Ovis aries: one gene and its partner. The protein of the gene in region 2 binds, or shares a complex with, the protein of the main gene of each other region. Links are inferred from orthologs where the notes say so. Each region holds a gene or a part of one and is shown on either strand. Other genes may lie near its edges.

The links.
Region 1: SATB1 (region 2) and HOXB2 share a complex: the UniProt entries of both Homo sapiens proteins name them as parts of the nuclear protein complex. The link is inferred for Ovis aries from reciprocal best matches to the Homo sapiens genes SATB1 and HOXB2.

Annotation. Positions count from the first base shown.
Region 1 is NC_056064.1:37,675,470-37,680,076, reverse strand, and holds the start of HOXB2 (homeobox protein Hox-B2), read right to left. Parts: upstream 3,066-4,607; 5' UTR 1,163-3,065; coding exon 781-1,162; intron 19-780; coding exon 1-18. UniProt on the Homo sapiens protein: Sequence-specific transcription factor which is part of a developmental regulatory system that provides cells with specific positional identities on the anterior-posterior axis.
Region 2 is NC_056054.1:276,534,376-276,538,182, reverse strand, and holds part of SATB1 (DNA-binding protein SATB1), read left to right. Parts: intron 1-1,222; coding exon 1,223-1,399; intron 1,400-2,161; coding exon 2,162-2,288; intron 2,289-3,048; coding exon 3,049-3,172; intron 3,173-3,807. UniProt on the Homo sapiens protein: Crucial silencing factor contributing to the initiation of X inactivation mediated by Xist RNA that occurs during embryogenesis and in lymphoma.

The DNA of each region.
Region 1 (4,607 bases), on a different chromosome or scaffold from region 2:
CCGGTAGTCCCGGCCCATCTGCGGGGAAAGCGGGCTGGGCGTCAACGCGGGCCGTGTCCTCAGCCCAACCTCAACTCGGCTGAAATAAAAGACTATCCCATCCTCCCAAAGCAATGTCTGCGGCACCCCCGACCTGCCCGCCTACCAAAGCGGCTCGCTCCCACGGCTCTTGCCTTCTTTCTCGTCCCTCTCTCTCCGCCAGACCCGGCCAGAGTCAGCGCACAGCATTCAGAGAGCCGCCCACGGACCATGCAGGGGTTAGGGAGCGGCTCCCTTTCGCCCCCAGAACCTCAGAGCCCCTCCCAGGTCCTCCAAGTGGATCCCTCATTTCAGCACTTTCTAACTCAGCCTGGGGAGAGGATTCATAAAGAAAGATTGTTCCTCACCTCTTCTCCTCCCTAGCCCCCAGCTCTCAAATCCCCCCACTTCTCCTAGAGCTAGAGTAGATGGGATTGAATCTCTTCCTGCCTCCAGATTCGACCCCATCCAACAACACTCCTCCACACAGCTAAATGTGAAACCTCAATAGAATCCTTTTCTCCTAGCAGAAAAAGATGCTCTTCCCCAACCAGCTTCCAAAATCTGCTGTAGGGAAAGGAAAAAAAAATGCTGGCAGCGGCCAGGCCTGAACCACAACGATCTTTTCTGCTTTCTCGTCCCTGGAATCGACAGGGGCAAGAAACCCCAACAGGCTCGACACCTTTTTCTACCTCCCCCATCGCTCCTTCTCCCCCTTTTTTTCTAGCTGCCCCTCACCCAACCCCTATCACGCTTACCGACCTGCCGGCGATCCGACCCCGGAGGCCGGGACGGAGGAGGCGGCCGGGGGAGATGCGGCGGATTGGCTGGGTTTCTTGGCGGATTTCTTCTCTTTCATCCAGGGGAACTCGGGGGCCAGGGGGGCGGCGGGGAGCGGCGGCAGCGGCGGCAGAGCGGGCCCATCTTCGGCTCGCTTTTGGCTCCCGGGTCTCTGAAGGGTGGAGGCGCCGGGCTGGAGGCTGGGGAAGGTTTGCTCGAAAGGAGGAGGAGGAGGAATTAATGTCGACTCCTTGATTGATGAAGTTTGAAATGTCTCCAAGACAGCGGGGAAGGAAGTCAGACACTCGGCGAGCGATGGCTGGCTGTTTATAAACCCAATCTCCCTCTCAAATTCAAAATTCATGGCTTTCAATGGTGGGGGAGGGGGCCTGCTGGGGGGGCGTCAGGAGGGAGGATCGGAAGGGACCCCCCCTCCTGCCCCCCCCAGGTTTGTGTGATGCAGCGATTTTGGGAGGGGAAGATTTTGTTCTCTCTCTCTCTCTTTTTTTTTTTTTTTTAAATTTTGGGTCTTTATAATTGTATATTGCTGATAAATACAAGCGTATGGGGACTCTCTCTATTAAACCCAGGACTCCAGCGAAATTGCAGGGAATTCATGGTCACGGGACCCGCCTTGGCCAATCACTCGTCTGGGCCTGGTAGAAAACAGAGCATTATTTGCTTTAATTGATTCAAAAACTCTAGAGGACCATGACCTGGACACCATGAGCCCCCCAGTCCTACATGCCTGCTCCCCATGCCCCGCTTTCTCCAGAAAAGCTGAAGGAACCTTTTCTTCATCCCCATCAGAGGAGGGGAGGTTCTGGAACCCAGGAAACAAGAGAACCTAAGGGAGAAGTCTTCCTCTTTTTCAAATACTTTTAATACAGTAAAGCTTTCTTTATAAGGCCAGCAGCATTCCCTGCCCCCACCCCCGGGGAAAAAAAAAGCTGAGTGAGGATCTCAATATGGGAGGAAGAGGTAGTAGAAAGAGGTTTTCCCCTTTGGGAAAGGTCTGTGTTACAGTGCAATAAGGAAGAGAAGAGATTTACAATCATCAGCATCACTATCCCCAACCCACCCCCCAAAAGCAACAGATAAATCTTAGAAAATCGACAAGCACTCCTAGGCTGACACAGAGGAGTGAGATAGACAGTGAGGAGCCCTTTTGGGCCTCTGGCCTGTGGAGCTGTGAAGTCTCGGTTCCCTTCTCTGCCCAGCATTTGCAGCACTGCCCCTGCCCCTGTGTCTACCTGCCTCCTCACCTGGAGGCATCGGGCTCCTCTATGACACCCCAGCAAACAGGGTTGAAGATGCATATGCACCCTCTCAAGCCTCAAGCCTGTATCTGCATCTATATCCAGGAACAGGAACAAGAATCAAGAACCAAGGTAGCTCCCAATTTGACTTAAAGAACTCTCAAACTTCAGGCCAATGTATTGGAAGGGGGTACTCCCCCCTACAGGAATGCCCTTGCCATTTTCCTCATTGTATGTATGTATAAATAAATACCCCCAACAAGATAGAATTCTCTGTGGAGGGGGTGCAAAAATAATGATCAAAGATGATATCTCATTTCTAGCCCCTGGGGAAATTGTTGTTTTTATTTCTTTTCAGAAGTTCAAGATAGTATGAACTTTAGGGAGTGCTGTAATTTACTGGAGGGAATGGGTACAAGACTCACAGCCCCAAGCAATCGGTGGGAAACTAGATCTCAAAGCAGAAAATGAAATGTCGATCTGGGGTAAGATTTTTAAATAAGTGGGTCAGAGGGACCGAGAGGAGATGAGGCGATCAATCTTAGCCCCCTGACAGCTCCCTCCGATGGCATCAAAGAATTTGGCTCTTTGGGAAAGCAGAGGGAACAGCCGAAATTCCCCATCCCTTTAAAAGGCCTGGAGGTGGGGGGTGTTAGCGAAAGAGAAAGGTGATTCTGGGAGAGCAGGGAAACAGATGGGAAATGGGGACAGAGGAAAGGCGCTGGGTTGGGTGGAAAGTTTTTCTGGAGAACTCCCACGGCTCCGGCCTCCCCTCCCCCTCCTTGCTCGGCAGCGAGCAAGGAGAAGGCTGGTTAGCAGAGAAATGGCAACTCGGCCGGGAGCTGGAACTAGAAACTTTGTGTCAGTGTAACAGCCGCGTGGGTGGTGGTAAGTATTCATCCGTGTGGGTTGGGGGTGAGTGTTTAAAAAGGATAGAGGAATCTGAGGAGAAGGGTGGGGGTGGAGGAGAGCCAGGAGGAAAAGGGGGGAGCTGGACGTGGGGGCTGCAGGGACGGGGGCGGCAGGCTCTGGAGGGCTCAGATCCAAGGGAGCTGCTCTGAAAAACTGGGCAAACTAGCCAGAGACGGTTGTGTCCAGCTCGGCTCCAAAGAGTAATTTTTGCCACTTGGAGGTGAGGACGGGGGTGGAAGTGGGGAGTAGGCACAGAAGAGTAGTTGTCTGCAGGTTGTGCAGGAGGCCTAAGAGGGGTCTCCCTCCGGCCACCCCCTTGAGAAGCCCTGGAAGTTTTTTCACAGCCTCTCCAGCTGGCTGCAGGGTTGAGCGATTCTCTCCGCAACAACTCCGGCTGTCCCTGCAGGAAATACGGCTCTCTCTAACCCTGCTGACAGATTTTACGGCCAGATTAGAGAACAGCAGAAAACTTGGGTGTTAAAAGGGGCCAAGAGAACCTTCCTTCCCAGAGTCGCCGCTTCCCCGCCCCCCTGTTGTGCTGTGAATCTTACTGTACAGATACTTTCCCCTCGACTTTGGCTGCTTAGCTAGGGGCTGAAATCTCTAAGAGAGAAGGGAGGAGGACACCAAGCCAAGGTGGCCCTTATTTTTCTTGATTGCAATTCCAATTTCAAGCCAAAGCTCTGTTTTTCAAACTCAAGTTAAACTTTCTGACTTGGCCTGCCCCTCTCCTACTAGATAAAAAATCAGTCCAGTCTACATCTAGAGCCAAACAAGGCGCTTCATCTAGTTAACACCATTCAGAAAATGTTATTCAGGGAAGAGGAAGAGAGAGAGAAAGAAAGAAAAACCCATGAACGTTATTTGATCCCAATCAAACTTTGTACGCTCTTATGCCTTTAAATTATAGCTTGACCCAGTGCTAAATTGCTTGCTGCTTGGATGAGCCTAGTCCAGTTAAAATCCTACTTGGTGGTGGTGTGGGGGGTGGGGTGAAGAATTCAGGTTGCTTTTTTATTGTTATTTATTGTTGCATAAAGGCTATAATTACTAACCTTGGACTGCCAGGATACAACATAAAAATGAAAATCAGCCCTGGCTTTAAGGCTGAGGGCCTGGAATGATTCTCACCAACACGCCCCCCACCCCCACCATCTCTACCACCAAATATATGCTCCTAATTAAGCAATGCTAGAACATCGCTTACAATTAGAATTATGCAACTCTTCAGCAAGCAGCCATCGCTTCTCTTTCAACGAATTAGCTCCATATTTCAGCTTCCCTGTCTCCTAGCTCTTATCGGCTCCAGCGATGCGGCGGTGACATTTCATCTTTGACAGACCCTCTCTATCCTCGCTCCAATGTGATAAAACTTTTATGGAACCACGACTAAGAAATGAAGTTTTCCCAAGGATCGTGGAAACAGAGCGGCACATTAGCCTGGGGACCATTTTATGTATGCTTGGATCCATAGCTTCTCCCACCCTCCTCCTCTCCCCTTACCCTGGCGGGGGAAATCAAACAGGCCTCCTCTCCCTCTGTCCTGAGTTTTATTTAGTGATTTAATTTCACTTTAGTTTTAAGGTTTGACCTGAGAAGTCTAGGCTTCAGAATTTTTTTTTAAGATTAATCATTTTC
Region 2 (3,807 bases):
AAATAGGGCGTTTTTAAAGGGCATCTCTGGTGTCAGGAGGAAACCCTGGGTTTTTAGCTCTGCTTTGCCGGCCCTGGATACCTTCAGAAGTTGGTTGGCTTCTGTGAATGCAGAGGACAGAGCTTAGAGAGGCATTGGCGTTCCAGGACTAACTGGGGGTCCCGGGTGCCCTGGCGCGGTAACCTTTGTCATCATTTATGCTCAGGATGGTGCCCTCCTGGCCGCGTGCCACAGTGCTCTCCGCTGCATCTGCTTTTAACCCTTTTCCGTTTATCACTGGAAGTCTGACAGTGCGCTGTGTAAACACCTCGAGGACGACAGCGTTCCGTGATTTCTGTTTCTAGAAGCCTCTTTGCTGACAGTGGTGTGGTGTGGCCTGTGTTTATTAACCATCTGGCTCCTGAGTTATTACCTGGGATTACAGTGAACAGAGAGCACATCTCGTCTCTGCAGATTCCTGTAGCTTGAGACACCCTGATGAGGACGGTTTCCTTTGCTCTCATCCTTACCCCATTTGCTAGAGCAGAGATGGTTCGTTTTAAAGACCTGTGGTTACCGTGATGTCCTTTTAGGCAGGTTAAATGAGTAGCCATCAAAGTGAGTATTAGTCATCTGCAGTGTGCACGTGTTGAAATCCTGTGTTTATGAACTTCAGTTGGGTTAAGTTGTGTTTCTTCTGTGGCCTCAACGTGAAGATCTTAAAGAACGAGGCGAATGCTCGTAATTTTATAATCAAAGCTAATTTGTTTGGACACAGACAGGGAAAGTTGAATCCTAACAAAAGCATGTAGGAAGCATGAAGATGGGTTCTTTCGAAGCTGAGCTGAGTGAGTTACATTTGCACACCAGGTACCACTCACAGCAGATCAGACCAGACTCTTACTCCTCTCCTGTCAGCCTTATGATTTGATCAGAAAGGTAATTCTGCATTAATTGGTTTGGGGAAATGCTCTGTTAAAATTAGAGCCCAGTTACCTCAGGGCCGAGTTCATATTCTATTTCAACATTTCTCTTGCAACTTAAAAAATAAGAATAAAAGAAGGTGTGTGTTTGTGTCTGTGTGCCCGGGTCTCTGTGCCAGTCTTGCATTCTCTCGTGGTGGTGAAGATTTATTTTCATGGTTTCATTTTTTTTCCCTCCCTGCCCGCCCCCGCCCCCCCCCCCAGACTGTGTTGCTGAAATTCGTTGGTTTGCGTCTCTTTTTCCTCCGTCTCCTTGATAGGAACCATGCTCCCGGTTTTCTGCGTGGTAGAACATTATGAAAATGCCATTGAATACGATTGCAAGGAGGAGCATGCAGAATTTGTGTTGGTGAGGAAGGACATGCTTTTCAACCAGCTGATAGAAATGGCCTTGCTGTCTCTGGGTTATTCACATAGCTCTGCTGCCCAGGCCAAAGGTAAATAATGCATCCACGGGGTTGGGGGAATTGCTTGGCATCCTTTGTTTACCTTGCAGAGAAAGCATCTGAATATTTTCATTCAAAGAACTGTAGCCTGTGTGTTACATGGGTTCCTTCTAGACTGTGGCTTTAAAAAATCGGCTTAATTCGGTTTGGTTTAGTTAACACGCATTTTGCTCATGTGGAATGTGGAGGTAGGTTTTTTTTTTTTAAATTACTTCAGCTGAATCATTAGTAAGCTTATTGACCTTAATAATCTGCTCCACTGAGGACCCACAAGGAAGTGAGGAGCGTATCTGAGCAGATGGACTGTTGAGAGTCAATTTGCATTTATGACTGAATATCTAGTTCTGTTTCTTTTATTCTGTTTCTGATGGTTTTATGGGCTGTAAAGTATTTTTCAATGCTGATTCCCATTGCAATCGAGAATCTTATCTAAATCGTAAAGCCATTTAGAACTGGTTCAGCTATGTCTTATTAGAACTTCCTGTAAGTTAGGAAAATGTGGCCTCTGCCTAGGTTTTATTGATGGGGTTTTATTTCCAAAATAATAAACAGCCCCACCGTCATTTACATAATTTCACAGTTTGGAAAACTGAGCTGAGCATATTTTCACTGACCTGCCTTTTGGAGGGAAGGGAATCATTCAGACAGAAGTAACAGTATTGCTTGTGGTGGGGGCAGTGAAAAGCAGGCTGGCAGTGGGTAGGTTATCTGAAGGGCCAGACCTGAGTGACACACGCTCTTTATCTGGAACAGGGCTGATCCAGGTCGGGAAGTGGAACCCAGTCCCCCTGTCTTACGTGACAGATGCCCCCGACGCTACGGTAGCAGATATGCTTCAGGATGTGTATCATGTGGTCACATTGAAAATTCAGCTACACAGGTGAGTCAGGAAAGCAGTTCCAGCGCAGAACGTTCTACTCACCTGATCGTTTGAAACAAAGTATCTCTGGCCAGCCTTCAGCTGTGACTCGCCCTGCATTTCAGAGAGGCTAACCCCAATCGATTTTGCCACCTCCCCCCTTTCTCCTTTATCTTCCTAATCTGAGCCCATCGTTTAGAAGCAGTGTTCCCCCCAAATGCATCTACTTGTGCAGGTTATCAAAAGACAAGACTTTTTCTGTGTAATCAATTAAATGATGCATTGCGAGAAGGCATTTTACATAAAGTTTACTTAAGAGAAAAATATTTTTGCATATCATGAACAGTGCCATCTGTGTACACTTTGTGAAAGAATGCCTTATTCACTATTGCCGAGCTCTTATTTATTTATATGATTTTTTTTAACCGTCTTAATTCGTACGAGCGGAGTCCTGAAGGGAAAACGGTTCCCACGTTCGTGTTTTCACGATGGCTCTTGAGAAAGCAGTACACCTTAAATTGTCTTCCCAAGCGCATCCGAGCAGGAAGGTAGAAGTAACATGGAAAAATAGCCACCACAGGCAGCTGATGTATAATTCATGCATCGATACAGCAGATGTGTTGTATAAAGTAATTAACTAATCGGAACAATCAGGAGACCGAGAGCAATCTCCAGATGCATCTGTTTGATGCGCAAAATGAAATCTGTCTGTCTTAAAGGAATGTTCTGCAGCGGGATGCAATCTTGTCATAATCCCCTTTCTACTCTGTGTCTCCAACAGTTGCCCCAAACTGGAAGACCTGCCCCCCGAGCAGTGGTCGCACACCACCGTGAGGAATGCGCTGAAAGACTTGCTGAAGGACATGAATCAGAGCTCCTTGGCGAAGGAGTGCCCCCTCTCACAGGTACTGGGCGTCGCTGGCACTAAATGACAAGCCATTGAGGGCAGCCTCGTTGGAGGAGTCGTGGGAAGCCATAGTCTAAAGCAGCTGGTATCGGAAGCAAGAATCTCCCCAAAATGCAAAGTGACTTGACCACCGGTGACTTTCAGAAGTGTGTGCGATTCATCCTGACAGTGTGGGAAAGAAAGGGGAGGGAAAGCCGCTCAGCAGAACTTTGCGCTAGCTCACGTGTAGATCCCTGCTCTGAGTGTTCTGAGATTGGACGCTTTGTTGTCCTGAGGGCCCGTATTTGAGGGAATAAGGGTGGTGTACCTTCCTGGAACCCCTAGATGCCAGGAAGCACCTTGGAAGTGTTACTTTGCAGAACGTCACCATGCTACCTGAATAAAGAAACAGAATAGCTTCTAGGTGCTTTCTTCATTACCACACAAAGGAAAAAGAAGAAGAAGAAATAGAATTTAGAAAAAAAATTACACAGAAAACAAATCTCTTCTCTCTAATTAAAGGTTAGATAGTTATTATTCATCAGGATTCTGTCACCAGTTTTATCCATTGGTTCAACCTCCCGCCCCCACTGTTTTTCTTTTCTTTAGTGGGGTCATACGTTTTCCTCTGAGATGCCTGTCATACTGTCAGGG